2 linked regions of the Lonchura striata genome follow. The protein of the gene in region 2 purifies or fractionates together with the protein of the main gene of each other region. This does not show direct contact. Links are inferred from orthologs where the notes say so. Each region holds a gene or a part of one and is shown on either strand. Other genes may lie near its edges.

The links.
Region 1: the proteins of FBXW11 (region 2) and AATF purify together in Homo sapiens (affinity purification with mass spectrometry; 3 studies listed by BioGRID and IntAct, with this or other methods). This does not show direct contact. The link is inferred for Lonchura striata from reciprocal best matches to the Homo sapiens genes FBXW11 and AATF.

The regions. Positions count from the first base shown.
Region 1 is NC_134622.1:10,339,238-10,346,993, reverse strand, and holds the start of AATF (protein AATF), read right to left. Parts: upstream 3,013-7,756; 5' UTR 2,993-3,012; coding exon 2,908-2,992; intron 1,656-2,907; coding exon 1,467-1,655; intron 1,289-1,466; coding exon 863-1,288; intron 280-862; coding exon 142-279; intron 1-141. UniProt on the Homo sapiens protein: Part of the small subunit (SSU) processome, first precursor of the small eukaryotic ribosomal subunit.
Region 2 is NC_134617.1:17,017,955-17,025,898, reverse strand, and holds the start of FBXW11 (F-box/WD repeat-containing protein 11), read right to left. Parts: upstream 3,015-7,944; 5' UTR 2,969-3,014; coding exon 2,924-2,968; intron 1-2,923.

The DNA of each region.
Region 1 (7,756 bases), on a different chromosome or scaffold from region 2:
TGCTTTGGGCAAACCTTTGCATTCACTGCACAAAGCTGGTACAAGGTGTCTCTGGACAGAACACCCCAGCTCTGCCCTGGACAGCAATAAGCAATTGTTCGTAAGGGTCTGAGCAAAGGAGAAAGATGAAAAGGTTCTTACAGCTCTCCACAGCGTTGTCAAAGTCCTGTCCCCCTTCCTTCCTGAACCTGGGGTAGGTGTCTGGCTGGGGCAGCCTGTTGGCAGTCATGAGCACCTTCTGCATCTTGATCCTCCCTTCCATCAGCTGGTCCCACAGGGCTTCACAACAAAAAAGGAAACAAAAGAATCAGTTAGCAAGACAAAGCACTTGCTCCTGGTGAAGTACCTGACAGCTCAGGCCCTCTCCTCTGGGCTGCATTCCTCCTGCTCAGGGCAGCCTTGGCCAGCACAAAATGGGTGCCACGAGTTCCCTCTGGACAAAGCAAATCCCAGCTGCAACTCTGTGACCCACAGCCCAAACCAGCCCTCTGCTCCACTGGTTCAAAGGAAAGCCTGCACACAGAGGTTTGATCCTGTAACAGCTCACACAGGAAGAAATGGCACTGTGGGAGTCACACTTTGGAAAGAAGCAACGTGATCCCAGCAGGAGCAGTGCAGGAAGCTCCCACACCCAATGGCCCCATGAGGATATTCAGCACTGGTTCAGTTAAGCTCATGGATAAATACACTTCACATCAGGAGCTGTTACAGCAGCAGTGACACCAGAACATCTGGCACAACATCTGCACGCACACGGGGCTGCTGCAGCATGCACAAGCAGGGTGCTGGCAGCACCTCAGCATGCTGAGGGGCTCAGGCTGGTTTTACCCTGCCAGCAAACACACAGCAAACATGCACAAACCTAGCTGGTTCCTCACAGCTTTGCCCTTCTCCACTTCTTCAGACTCCTGTCCTCTGGAAAAGGTCTGCACTCCCCCATCATCTTCGTTGTCTTTGGTTTCTTTTCCATCATCGTGGTTTTCACTCCCAAATTCTTCCTCCTCCTCCTCCTCCTCCTCACTTCCTTCTTCCATGTCAGCATCATCTTCACCCTCCTCTTCATCCTCCCCTTCACTGCTCCCTGCATCATCCATCCCCTCTGTAAACTTCTCAAAGTCTGTGATATTCTGGGAGCTGAACTCTGGTGCCTTGGCCTCTTCATCATCCTCCAAGTCATCCTCCTGCTCACTGCCAGCACTGCTGGGCTTCTCCCTGCCCTTTGTGCCAACACCGTCCTCCTCTTCTGAGCCTTCACTGCCACTGTACCAGTCATCTAGTGCTTCTTCAGCTAATAAACAAGAGAAAAAAGTTATTTGCTTAGCAGGGAAATTCCCCAGCAGCAGCTCAGGTTTGGGCTGTTTGATGTCCAGTTTAACTGTAGCTGCTCCTTGCCCTGAGCTCTGCCAGGCTCAGTGCTGACATCATGGTCTGCCAGCAAAAAGGGGGGAAAAAAAGAGATTTCTTACCAGATCCTTCTTCAGACAGAGCATCTCCCCAGAGCTCTTCCTGCAAAGCTTTCCGAGATGTGGCTTTTCCACTGTACCTCTTATCAGCTTCCAGGAGAAAGGCTGAGGCTCTTTTCCTGATATTGCCAACAGGCAAAATGTCATCCGTGGTTTCATCCTCAAATCTGTCAATCACTTTAGCAACTGTAGCTGTGGAGAGGTAAAAAAAAGGGAAGGGGTGTCTGAAAGTGAGCTGAATTCCAGTCTGGAAGGAGCCCTGGGAAGCTCCTCGTGCTCTCTAACAACAGGGCACTGCACAGGGGAACAGGAACTTTGAGAAGTGCAGGAAAGGCACACAAATAATTTCCTGCAAGGGGGAAAGGCTCATGCACGAAGCAGAACATGAACCAAGGATACAGCAGGGTCTCTGAGTCCTTCACGTGGAGGGCTCTGCAAAGCTGCAACGCCTTCACTCACTTTGTGCTTGCAGATTAAAAGAGGAAAGCTCCAATTCAGATGCACTCTGGCCTCTTGCTGTACATACAAGCCACATAAACACATACATTGCACTGTGGTTTTTGCCCTCCTTCATCCCCATCTCCTCTGGGACACAGAGCAGAACAGTCCAGCCCAGAGAACACATCCCACCACTCCCCAGCCTGTGCCAAATTACAATGAGCGACTCAAATCGCTGAGTGCCCTTAATATGCGTTTGGAAATCTTAACGCCTGTTTGGAGTGTTTGTTAGAGGCAGAGGGAGGCAAAAACATCTCCTGCTCATAACCAAAATAACAAAATCTGCTACAAGCACGGCCACTCCAGGCAGCAGAGGACGGGCAGGAGGGGCAGATCCTTCCAGCACCTCCTGGAATCCTCAGTCTGGCACCAGCACACGATGAAGCTCTCCCAGAGCTGCAGCGGCTGGCCCTGGCAGCGTCCCGGGCCGGGCCGGGCGGGTTTGGAGCAGCCCGGGACAGTGGAAAGCGTCCCTGCCATGGCAGGGGTGGCACTGGGTGGGCTCTGCGGCCCCAAACCCCATCGGTCTGGGATTCTGCGCAGCCTGGAGCAAAATCATGGTTACTAAAACGGGAAACCAGCGCTCCTGAGCACGGCGAGTTCCTCAGCGGGCACCGAGGCGCTTCTTACAGGGCACCGCCGCTCCCAGCAGCCTGCAGGACCGAACCGGGCTAGGCCCGACACAGGCCCGACCCCGCGGCTGGCCCCAGCCCTGAGAACCGACCGCGGGCACATCCCCGACCCCGCCGGCGGCTCGCAGGACTCGATCGCGTCGGTAACCCGGGCCCGACCCCGCCGCGGTCCCTGCGGTCAGCCCGGGCCCGGCGGGGCCCGACCCGCCCCGCCGCCACGTGCGGCCGCTCCGGCAGCGCCCGGGCCGCCCCGCCGGCCCCTCCCGCCGCCGCCGGCCGCGGTGCCGAGCCTCCCTTCCCCGGTGCTGCCGCACCTTCCTCCGCATCGTCCTCGGGGTCCCGCGGGCCGGGCCGGGGGTCCAGCAGCTCCTGCAGCTGCAGCGCCAAGGGCGCCGCCATCTTGGGGCCGGGCCGGGGCGGGGCCGCGTGAGGGGACGGGCGGGAAGGGCGGGAAGGGCGGGAAGGGCGGGAGGGGCGCCCGGTCCCGCCGGGATCCGCCCGGAACGAGCCCGGGGTCCGAGCGGGAATGAACCCGGGATCCGCCCGGAACGAGCCCGGGGTCCGAGCGGGAACGAGCCCCAACCGGGAATGAACCCGGGATCCAATCGGGAACAAACCCGGGATCTGAGCGGGAACGAGCCCGGGGTCCGAGCGGGAACGAGCCCCAACCAGGAACGAGCCCGGGATCCGAGCGGGAATGAACCCGGGATCCGCCCGGAACGAGCCCGGGGTCCGAGCAGGAACGAGCCCCAACCGGGAATGAACCCGGGATCCGCCTGTAACGAGCCCAGGATTCGACTGGGAATGAGCCCCAACCGGGAATAAACCCGGGATCCAATCGGGAACAAACCCGGGATCCAGCCAAGAACGAACCCCAACCGGGAACGAGCCCGGGATCCGACCGGGAACGAGCCCAGGATCCAACCAGGAATGAACCCGGGATCCAACCGGGAACGAGCCCCAACCAGGAACGAGCCCGGGATCCAACCGGGAATGAACCCGGGATCCGCCCGGAACAAGCCCGGGGTCCGAGCGGGAACGAGCCCCAACCGGGAATGAACCCGGGATCCACCTGGAACGAGCCCAGGATTCGACTGGGAATGAGCCCCAACTGGGAATAAACCCGGGATCCAATCGGGAACAAACCCGGGATCCAGCCAAGAACGAACCCCAACCGGGAACGAACCCGGGATCTGACCGGGAGCGAGCCCAGGATCCAACCAGGAATGAACCCAGGATCCGACTGGGAACGAGCCCCAACCAGGAACGAGCCCGGGATCCAACCGGGAATGAACCCGGGATCCGCCCGGAACAAGCCCGGGGTCCGAGCGGGAACGAGCCCCAACCGGGAATGAACCCGGGATCCACCTGTAACGAGCCCAGGATTCGACTGGGAATGAGCCCCAACCGGGAATGAACCCGGGATCCAATCGGGAACAAACCCGGGATCCAGCCAAGAACGAACCCCAACCGGGAACGAACCCGGGATCCGACCGGGAGCGAGCCCAGGATCCAACCAGGAATGAACCCAGGATCCGACTGGGAACGAGCCCCAACCAGGAACGAGCCCGGGATCCAACTGGGAATGAACCCGGGATCCAACTGGGAGCACACCCGGGATCCGACCAGGAGCAAGCCGCAACCGGGAATGAACCCGGCATGCAACAGGGATCCAACCGGGAATGAACCTGGGGTCCAACTGGGAACAAACCCGGGACCCAGCCGGGAATGAGCCCGGGATCCAACAGGAATCCAAACGGGAATGAGCCTGGGATCCAACCGGAATCCATCCGAGAATTAACCTGGGATCCATCCGGGAATGAGCCCGAGATCCAACTGGGAATGAACCCAGGATCCATCCAGGAATGAGCCTGGGATCTATCCCGGAATGAGCTCGAGATCCAACTGGGAATGAACCCAGGATCCATCCAGGAATGAGCCTGGGATCTATCCCGGAATGAGCCCAAGATCCAACTGGGAACGAACCCAGGATACAACCGGGAAATAACCTGGGATCCATCCAGGAATGAGTCCAGGATCCAACAGGAACCCAACCGGGAATGAACCCAGAATCCAGCCGAAATCCAGCTGGGATCGATGCCAGGGCCACAGCGTGACCCAGCGGGAGCCGCCGAGCCGCCGTTACCGGCGCTCGCAGCCCTTGTGGGCAGCAGGGCTGTGGGGTCGGCTCTCGGTGCCGGTACCGGCAGCACGGCAGCCGAGTGCCATGGGTAATGCACAACGTGACAACTGCCGCTTTAAATCACCCTCAGCTTCCTCTGCCTCCCCAGCTGCGCAGAACCGAGTTCATTCTCTTCCCTTCCTGTGTTCAATATTCTGTGGCCTCTGCTGGAGTTCCTCTCACAGCGGCGAGGTCCAGAGCTGGGTTCTCAGGTCAGGCCTTGCACACGGATAGATCCTTACACCGGAGTTACGCCTGAGTTACACCCAAGTTACACCTGAGTTACACCCGAGTTACAGCAGTCATGGGAATTCGGGAATTTGGGCTCCTGGGGTCACACTCTGGCCCAGGAGCAGCAGGCAGGCAGCACAGACGTGACCTGCAGAGAGCCTTAGCAGGGACAGGTTCTCTGGCTTTGCCCTCTCCAGCCTCTCCCGTTCCCTTTCTTTGGTCCTAAGGTGGCCCCAAGCCCAAGGGATTGCCTGGAACTGGGGAACACCAGTCGAGGCTGGCACGAATTTTGTTCCAAAGGAGCCTGGGCCCCGCTCAGCCTCTCCGATCCGAGCTGCAGATCCTCAGAGCCCGCAATGAGCTCCAGATTTGGGCTTTCCTCACCCAGCGCTGGGATTTCGGAGGTTCCAGCAGCCCGCCCTGAACCTGAGCACGCTGATGCTCATCCCCTTCTTGTCCTCCTGCGCCCGAGGTGCCTTTGATGCCGCAGAACCGAGCAGGAGGTGACTGGTGCTGGGAGCCGGGATGCAGCCGGCTCCATCCCGCCGCTCGGCTCATGCGGGCGCTTCTCCTACAGAGGGCAGAGGAATATCAGGAATTCCCATCGCCTCCAGCAGGGAGAAACCCGGCAGGCACCGAGAGGGAGCCGGCTGGAAAAACCCGAGCATCGCCCTCCCCTTCCCAGCCCCGCCGGGACCCTCCCCGCCTGACACTGGCTACCTTGATGATAAACTAAAGCTCGATTTATGGAAAACCCAACGTCTGCTGAAAACGCACATTTTCACAGCAAACCTCCCTCCCCCTGCCCAAGCTTCAAAATACTCAACAGCATAAACTCTCAAGTCGGTTTTGTAGTTTGTATTTATTTTAGCACGGCAGGATGGATGGCTCTGATGCTCTGCCTAATGGGTGGTGGGGGATTACCCCTGCTCCAGCAATGAGAAATTAAACACTGATTTTTATTTATTTATTTGCAAATACATGGTTTGGAAAAAAAACCAGGAAACTTATAAATCAGGACACATGCACAGTGTATCCTCCCTAGCTTTGCTTCTAAGTTTTCCTTTTTTTTCCCCTTTGAGTTTGTTGGTATTTTGTTCCCAGATGCCACCATAAACAAAGGGAGGATCCTGGAGAAATAAATCCGTGGAAAATTAAGTAGCAGGAACAAGTGCTTACCTGTGCAGTTACTTCTGAGTAACTAACCACTCACACAACCAAAGAACTAGTGCCAAGACTCCCCTGCATAATTGCATTTTCCAACCTCTGCACTCTTAGAGTGAAAAAGGGACGTTCTCTACCCTCACAAATAATGAATTGCCCTGTTAATGAAGGGAGAGAGGCTTTTAGTGATGGTTAAATAAAACAGACCCAGTAGAATGAATAAAAAACACAAGTGAGTCGCATTAGTCCTTTGGAGTAAAAAATGAGCTCCTTGAAGTCGCAGCGGTTTTGATGCTCAGGCCACCGAGATCAGGGTTTCACCCACTGAGACTAATGGGACAATTGCTCCATATAAATCCCAAAGGCAGCAATGCATTCCCGTCCACGTCCCAGCTGCAAACCCAGGGCTCCTGGCAGAGCTCGCCCGCTCCTCGTCCGTGCCACATCCATCACTCCCAGCCGTGCAGAACAAAACTCCTGCTCAGGTGTGGGGGACCCCTCACCACAGCTCACCCCAGCCACAGCACCTGGCAATTCACAGTTCTTCAGGAGGAGATGCAGTCAACACAAAGCCACATCAAACAGCAACTGCAGCCTGTGGAAGTCGGGGACTGTTAAAATATTTCACCCAGAGAGTCGCCTTTGCCGCTGTTTATTCTCTCTCCTCTGCCTTTCACTTAGCAGGGTAATTAAATCAGACTCCAGGGCTGGGTTTTAATTTCTGGTTCACATGCCCTCCAACCATGCTGCCGTGCCTAGGACTCAGAACAGAGCAGGGAAATATTTGTACCAAAACTGTATCGATACATTTTCATTTGAGATGCTCATGAAAGGCTTTTCATGCCTCACGGTCGGTTCAGAGAAACCCTTGGCCTGTTTAGAAACTACATCAACCTCACTGACATAATTTCTTTGGCATTTTCCCTCTTAATTTTACTTTTTTATTCACATGCCTGTTTGCTAGAATGGGAATAGCAGCCCAAACACAGAGCAGATAAACAAGGGAACGTGGAACAGGCTGGGCTGTAAAAACGGCTTCCAGTTTCTCCCACTCAGCATCTCTCGCTGCCGTGTCCGTGGAGCTCGTCAGCTTTTGGGAAATCGTCAGATGAGATGGAAGCTTTGGCAGGGAAGGGCTGCACATGTAATTATACGTGTCTGTATAATTACAGGTTGTTAATATGAATCCATCTTTCAGAGCCATTCCTTCACCGGAGCACAGGAATGGGCCGGGGTGGAAACGTGGAGCCTCTGGGGCACTGCCAGCGAGGGCCCACGGGGGTGCAGGAGCCCATCCCCACGGCATTCCCAGCACATCCACGGGAATCACCCGCCCCGGAGTCACCGCTGCTGAATTTAATTGACTTACTTCATCAACAGCGACATTTGACCCATATACGAGGGCCTCGTGCTGGCCAAAAATAGCCAGAAGCTGGGGCTGATCTTGCCAATGCTTGGGCGAGCAAATGTCCTTTTCCAAACTGACCTCTATCATTTCAGTCATGCTAGTTCAGTCAAAATTTTCTTTTTAAACCAGCAACGCAATTTAGCCGTGAAAATGAGAGAAAAAAGAAGTGAAAAGAACT
Region 2 (7,944 bases):
CTGTTACAACAACCTAAGCAGCTAACCCCCTCACACTGTGAAAGCTGCTGGTAACACTAAATAACAATTATGGAAAGCTTCCTGGGAAAATTAAGAACAGGCTTTTAGCACATATTGAAGGTAAATGCAAATCACAGGGTTGATGCAACTGAACACAGATTTTATACACAACTCTGATCTGCAGGTAACAAAACTTATTTCACAAAGCATTGCAGTTGGTTCTTCAAAAGAGCAAAAAGGTCACAGTTATCTAATTTCACTGAGAAAACCAAAACCAGGGGCAGAACGAGCCCTTTCAATGAGTGGTCCTCCATCTGTTCTGGATTACCTCCTCACTCCTCAGCCGCCTGCTGACACCCAGCATTTCCCTGAGCCCACGACTGAACCAGCCCCAGCCCTGCCAGACACAGGGAGCCTCAGCCTGGGCAAACCAGTCAGTCCCAGCTAACCTCGGGGGTATCCCACCCATACAGGTGGGCACCACCTGCACGTGGAAGCTGTGAATGGCATCACTCAATGCTCATCCCCCTGGGAATGACTAAGGACAGCATCCACAGAAGCAGCACACAGCACGGGAAGAGTTCAGCTGATCTGAGGGACACAGTGGCTTGGGAATACTCACTAAAACTTCACACAGCAAATCAAAGTTGTCACTCTGAAACTTTGAAATATTTATCTGAGATTCCAGCCTTAAAAATAGAACAGTATTATTTCCATGACTGATTTTCCTTTAAATAAATGCAAATGATCAATCCGGGAAGGCACAGTTCAGGGCTAGAGCAGCATGTTCTGAAACTTATATGCAATTAACATGTTGACACATAACCTCTTGTTTATCAGCCCCTCAGAATTACAGTGTATTTGCTCCTCAGAACTTTCAGATCACACATTTGCTCCTGTATTTACTACAGATTCATCCCTGGCACTGGAAGGAAGCAATGCACCAAACCCCATCTCCCTGATCAAGAAGAGGTATCAAACATCTTTTAGGAATGTGGAACACTCTTAAAAAGAGCAGCATCCCCCCAAGTCTGCCAGGCAGGGAAGATCCTGGGTTTGGGATGTTTCCCACAGCACCAACTCCCACGTTTCCAGATCACAAAGAAATTCCCAACAGGGAACTCAGCCCAAACAGCTTCTGCCCTGTGGATTCAAACCAATCTCCTGGCGAATCTCCCCTTCTGCACCACATCAGAAGGCAAAACCTCCACATCTGCATTTAGGAGTGATTTTCAATGCTTTTAGGGAAACATCTCCACTCAAACATAAGTGATCTTGTGCAAGCCTCCACTAAGGTTAACATTAAATTCAACTACATTGTAAACCATTTATACATTGTATACCATCTTCTCCTGGCAACCACAGAATTAATTGTTCATCTCACTCAATTTTTATATTTATCAGTTTCTTATGAAAGAGAGAAAAGTGTATGTCTAAAACCTCCTACTACATACTAAAACTCCTATTAACCCCACAGATATTTGCACGGATTAGCACATTTCCCGGCTCCAGCAAGTGGAGGATACAACACTCATCAGCAAAAGTCCCATTTGCTTCCTCCTGATACAACCTGGCCGCAAAGAGGAGAGACTAAAATGGGAGAGCACTTGCGAAAACATGGAAAAGCGGTTTTTGAAAGTTGAGGGAGCCAAACCTTCCAGCTCCAAATGCTACCTGAGCAACTCACAGAACTCAAAGCAGAGGAGTGTTGGTGACTGTTCCACGGAAGGAAAAAACCAGAGCCCAATTCCCAGGAATTTAGGAGGCATCTCTCAGGGTGGCTGGCCCTGAGCTGGATCCCCACAAAGCTGCCAAGCCTTGTCCTCCCTGCTAAGGGCACTGATGGCTCTGATGCCCCCCAGGGCAAGTGTGAGACCACAGCACCAGGGGAGGAGGCTCCCTAGGAACAGCTTTTAAGCCCCTGCCCTCAGTGACCAGTAACATTAATGAAAGATACACAAAGGCTTTCTACGTTCCTCTTTTTCTTTCTCATTTTATTTCTGCTTTTTGAGACCAGATAGCACACTTGAAGAAAGTTCGTATTTTCTGGATCAGGTAGTTTAGCAACAACTCAACTCGCTAAAAAACACATTTATGTCTCCACTGAACCCAGCTCACCTTCAGAGTGCATTAAAGGGAAATTATTTGCATTTTGCCCCTCAGTTCTGGAGAACTGTATGAAATTCTGTATGTGAGAGCAAATTACACTTAGGAGAAAAAGCAATTATGCTTCTAACAAATAAATTAGAAGATATTTACCGACTACTATTCTCTCCCTACTCCTAATTTAATTTTATTCACGCCTAATGCAGTAAAACGAGGAGTCTCCATTTGCCTATAGAGATCTAATTTGCTTATAGTAAAAAAAAAAAAATTCAGCACCTCTTTCTACTGCTCCCACCTGGATGCCTCTCCACTAACGCGAAATTAGCGGTGTAAGCGTTAATTAGGAGTATAACCAATACACCAATTAGGTCTCGTTAGGTAATTCCGAGTGTGCTGGACCGGAGCTGCAGCACCGGTGCTGCCCCGGCCCGGGGCCCCGAGGCTCCCCGGCGGGGTCTGATCCGCCCCCGGGGGCGCGGAGGGCTCCGGCCGGCCCGGGGAGGGGCTGGAGCCGGAGCCGTCCCGCCCGGGGCATTTCGCTTTCGGTTCGTGCCCCGGCCGGGCCCTGCCTCCCGCCAGGTTCATTGTAGTTATTTATTTATTTCCAATGAAACGCAGGCGCTCGTGGCGCCCCGGGCGGGCCGCGGGAGCGCGGCGGAGGCGGGAGCGAGCGGATCGCCCCGCGGGGCCGGCACGGGCCCGGCACAGCCCCGCGGAGGCGGCGCCGGACCCCGCGGGCCGGGCGCGCCGGCGGGGCCTGAGCCGGGGGGGGCGAGAGGGCCCGGGAGGGTGTGCGCGGGGGCCGGGGGCGACTCACCATGAGCTCGATGGTCTTGTCCTCGATGACCGAGTCGGGCTCCATCGCGGCGGCCGCTCCGCTCCGCCCGCCCGCCCGGCCCGGCCCCGCCGCCGCCCCGCGCCCGCCAGGCCCCGCCGCGGCCCGCCCGCCCCCGCCGCGCGCCCGCGCACGCGCGCTGCGCCCGCCGTGACGTCACGGCGCTCGCGGAAGGGGCGTGGCCCCGACGCGCCTGGCCCCGCCCCCGGGGCGGCTCCGCGCTGACCATTGGGCACGGGCGGCGCGCGGGGGATGCCGGGAGGGGAGGGGCGGGGCCGGGGCGCGGCGTGAGGGGCCCGCAGGGGAGCGGGAAAGGGAGCGGGAACGGGAATGGGAGCGGGAAACGGAGCGGGGAAACGGGAACGGGAAAGGGGAACGGGAGCGGAAATGGGAGCGGGAAAGGGAATGGGAAAGGGGAACGGGAACGGGAGCGGGAAACGGAGCGGGGAAACGGGAACGGGAAAGGGGAACGGGAGCGGAAATGGGAGCGGGAAAGGGAATGGGAAAGGGGAACGGGAACGGGAGCGGGAAACGGAGCGGGGAAACGGGAACGGGAAAGGGGAACGGGAGCGGAAATGGGAGCGAGAAAGGGAATGGGAAAGGGGAACGGGAACAGGAAAGGGGAACGGGAGCGGGAAAGGGAACGGGAAAGGGGAACGGGAGCGGAAATGGGAGCGGGAAAGGGAACGGGAAAGGGGAACGGGAACGGGAGCGGGAAACGGAGCGGGGAAACGGGAAAGGGAAAGGGGAACGGGAGCGGGAAAGGGAACGGGAAAGGGGAACGGGAGCGGAAATGGGAGCGGGAAAGGGAACGGGAAAGGGGAACGGGAGCGGGAACGGGAGCGGAAATGGGAGCGGGAAAGGGAACGGGAAAGGGGAACGGGAACAGGAAAGGGGAACGGGAACGGGAATGGAAATGGGAAGAGGAAAGGGGGGCGGGAATAGGAATGGGAACAGGAAAAGGGAGAGAAAACGGGAGCGGGAAAGGGAATGGGAACGGGAGCGGGAATGGAAGAAGAACGGGAACGGGAATGGAGCAGCAGCGGCGGGCAGCGCCTCCGAGGGACGGCAGAGGGCCGGGGCCTGTCCCGCGCTGCCGGGGTCGATCCGTGTGGGAAGGGCCAGGGCGGGCTTGGTGCTGGATGCTGGGGGACGGAAAGCTTGGAAAGCGCCCGGGAGACTCGCCTCCATCGCTCCCTCCGTGCCTGGCACAGGTGCCCAGAGCGGCTGGGGCTGCCCTGGGTCCGGCAGTGCCCAAGGCCAGGCTGGACGGGGCTGGGAGCAGTGGGAGGTGTCCCTGCCATGGCAGGGGTGGGATGGGATGGGCTTTAAGGCCCCTTCCAGCCCAAACCATTCTGGGATTCTGTGGGCTCTGCACGTTGTACTGTCTGCTTCATAAACAGTTCAGTTTAATAAATCCTAATCTGTGCCTTAGGCCTGGTCTTGCTGGCACCACTGGGCATTTCCACGCAGCTGACCTCAACCCTTGGCAATGAGCAACTTATTCAGCCTTTAGGGTGTAGATCCTGCTGGCAAGCTGCCTCTGCCACAGGAGCCCCGGAGCATCCAGCAGCCGTCCAGAGCTCAGGTGCTTTGGGGACCAAGGCCACTCAGGCTGCCCTCTGACCGGCAGCAGGGACCAAGTGCAGCCGTAGGCATTGGAAATTGGATGCAAATCTGTCCTAAGCAGCAGCGTGCTGTGACAGCACAGCATTGGGCTTGCTGTGAAAATGGACCTGGAACTCCCTGCTAAGCATTTTTGTCTGTTACCTGTTCAAATCTCTGCCAAATGTAGAAGAGATGGAGGATGAACAAATGGAAATGGTGCAAAGTCCTTTCTTACTGACAGCTCACCTGCTCCACAGGACATTGGCATCAGCAGAAATGTCCTTCATCCACTCAAAATGACTTAGAACAATACTTACCGTGAGGTCTAAACCCTTTCTAGAGCATTTAAAAGGTAAAGCAAGAGCTGCAAATGGCCCTCCCTCCCTGCTTCTGCTCACAGCCTGGGGACGACAAATGGCTGTGCCCCAAAAGCTGCCCCATTTCCATCTATGGGGACAAAGCCAAACCCAGAGATGCCCCTGCCCCAAAGTGAGGCCACCCACAGCAGCACTGCCCCTCACCCTGATGCCCCATTGCCATGGAAAATCCACCCTTTCCTGCCCAAACCTGCCCCCCCTGGCAGCTGAGTTGGATCCTTCCCCCCCTTCCCATCACAACCCCTAAGGAAGGACTTGCAGGTGGAATTAGACCCATTGTGTAACACCCCCACACAGGTGTCACTGAGAAAGGTGGGACAAAATCCAGCTCCATTCTGTCCCTGCGATCAGCCATTGGTTCTGGACATCAACCAAGGCAGCAGAGATTTGTTTGGGACACCAAAGTAAAAAATCAGCATGTCTCAGTCTAAATATACCCAGGGCAGGGGTTTGCTGACAGCACAGCAATCCTGGTGCTTTCCAAAGCACAACCTGGTGTTCTGAGTATGGGAAGGATTCCCAGGGCAAAGAGAAAAAAGAGAGGGAAAATCTTCCATTAATTTGCACAAAGGGTAAATAAATGTTGCCATCACAGCAGCTCCAAGGGTTCCTGCACCACAGCAATGCATGTTGCACAGCAGGATGGGTCTCATTCTGGCAGGAGGAGTCAGATGGAAATGGAGTTCCTGTAATCTGCTCTTAATGGTGTGGTAAAAGCAATTCCTATGATGTGAGAGAAGGAGAAATACATAGAAATTAATTAAGGAAAGCATCATAAAAACATCAAATGTTTTGCCTTTAGTGTGGAACACCGAGGAAAGCAGGAGTGGGGATATCAATCTCTGTACCTGTAAATTAAAATTGTTTCTGACCAACTGACAACTTAAAACTTCATGAGGACTGAGCAACATGTTCAAGGCATAATAAGATTAAAAAACAGGTTTTGATAAATTTATTCTGAGATAGAAACTCACTGGGAAAGAGTCAGTCCCAGGAGGAGCAGCTGAGGGAGCTGGGAAGGGACTGGAGCCCCAGGAGAGGCTGAGGGAGCTGGGAAGGGGCTCAGCCTGGAGCAAAGGAGGCTCAGGGGGACCTTGTGGCTCTGCACAGCTCCTGACAGGAGGGGACAGCCGGGGGGTCGGGCTCTGCCCCAGGGAACAGGGACAGGAGGAGAGGGAACGGCCTCAGGCTGGGCCAGGGCAGGCTCAGGGTGGGCAGCAGCAGGAATTTCCCCATGGAAAGGGGGCTCAGGGATTGGGAGGAGCTGCTCAGGGAGGTTTGGAGTGCCCATCCCTGGAGGTGTCCAGGGAACACCTGGAGCTGGCACTGAGTGCTCTGGGCTGGGGACAAGATGGGCGTTGGCCGTGGCTTGGACTCAGTCTTGGAGGTCTTTTCCTCCCTAAATGTTTCCATGAGTCAAGCACAATATTCCCATGCCTACCTGGCTGCAGCAATTTGAGGAGCAGTCTCTGGGTGTGCCCTGCTCAGACAAGGCTGTACCACTGTGTGACAGATCTGTGTCATACATCTGCACAGCTGCCACGCAGGGTCACAGCTGCTAATTAGTGCTAATTAGGCCCCTGTTCAGGTGGAGGCACAGCAGAGAGTTGGGGCAGCTCCGTCCCAGAGAACTTGCTCTGCCAGTTTTCCTGTGAGGATGAGGATGGCGGGGGGGAGGTGGAAGGGAAAGTCCCAGCACCACCAACCCGGAGATATCTCCATTTTGTGCAACAGGGCAGGGATTCCTTGAGGGCCACCTCAGCCTTGCTGTATCAAAGCAAAAGTAATCCTGTGCTTAGAAAAACCCTGGAAACCTCCATCCCCCTGGGCTGACTCCACTGGAACTCAGCCAATGGTTCAGTCCATGTTCTCTGTCCACTCATTGTCCCAGGGAAGGATTTGCTCCCTGGTCATCTCCACCACAATTCCCACACCGGCTCTGTCTGTGTCTCACATGTCCTGGCACCACCACAGCACTCCTGGGGCAGGATTTTGGGAGTGACACCACTGCATTTTGTCTCACTACATCTTTTCTGGATAATGAGCTGAACTATTTCTCTTGACATCCTCCCACACTGGGCTGTTCTGGAGCTGGCCAAGTTCCCTGGCAGCTGCACAGCCCAGACAAGCCCAGTGTCACCAGGGTCCTTCCAGGAGCAATTGCCTCTCTGACCTCCACAGGCTGGCAGCAGAGCAACTCAGGGCGACCTGGAGATCCCAGGAGCTGATTTGAAGGTTCCCTACTCCAAGCAAGTCCTGGAGCCTAAGCAGGGAGCCAAAGCAGCCACCTGGGCTTCTCCAGGCACATGGCAGGGCACAGCCAGGCAGGAAAACTCAGCTGTTGGGATCCCTTAGCTGGGGAGGAGTTTGTGCCGATGTGGGAACCTGGTGGCCAAACAGGTGAAGCAGCTTCTCAGGAAACTCCTGCCCTGGAACTGAAAAGGAGAAACTGGTGAGCAAGAGCTTTTGTCTCACAGCTCTGGAGGTGGCTGGGTGGAAGGGGAGAGTCCCACACAAGGGACATTCACCTGGACTTACAGAGGTCCTTCAGCAGCTCCTGCCTCCATCCCAGCTGTCCAAGAGTTGCCATGTCCAGGGTGGGCCCTGTGGTGGCTTTGGGGAGAGCAGAGCTGCACACAGGGCACAGCCACAGGGCTGCAGCTATGGCAGAGCCAATGGGGACACCTGGGGACACAGAGGGAAGGGGGGAGAACTGACCCCAAAAGGGGCACAGTGAGATGAGCAAGGAGCCCAGAGCCACCTCACCATAGCAGTGACCATGGGACACCAGCACAGAGGGGCAGGCAGGTGGCTGTGGCAGAGCTCTGGCAGGGCTGTGGCAGGGCTGTGGCAGGGCAGTGGCCTGGCTGTGACAGGGCTGTGACAGGGCTGTGAGAGGTCAGACGTTGCTGCCTTCTCACAGCCCAGGCAGGGCTGGGGCTCCCCCACCTCATCCATTCCCAGCTCAGCCCTGCAGCAGCTCCAGGTCACCTCCTCATCCCGCAGGCAGGACCTGCC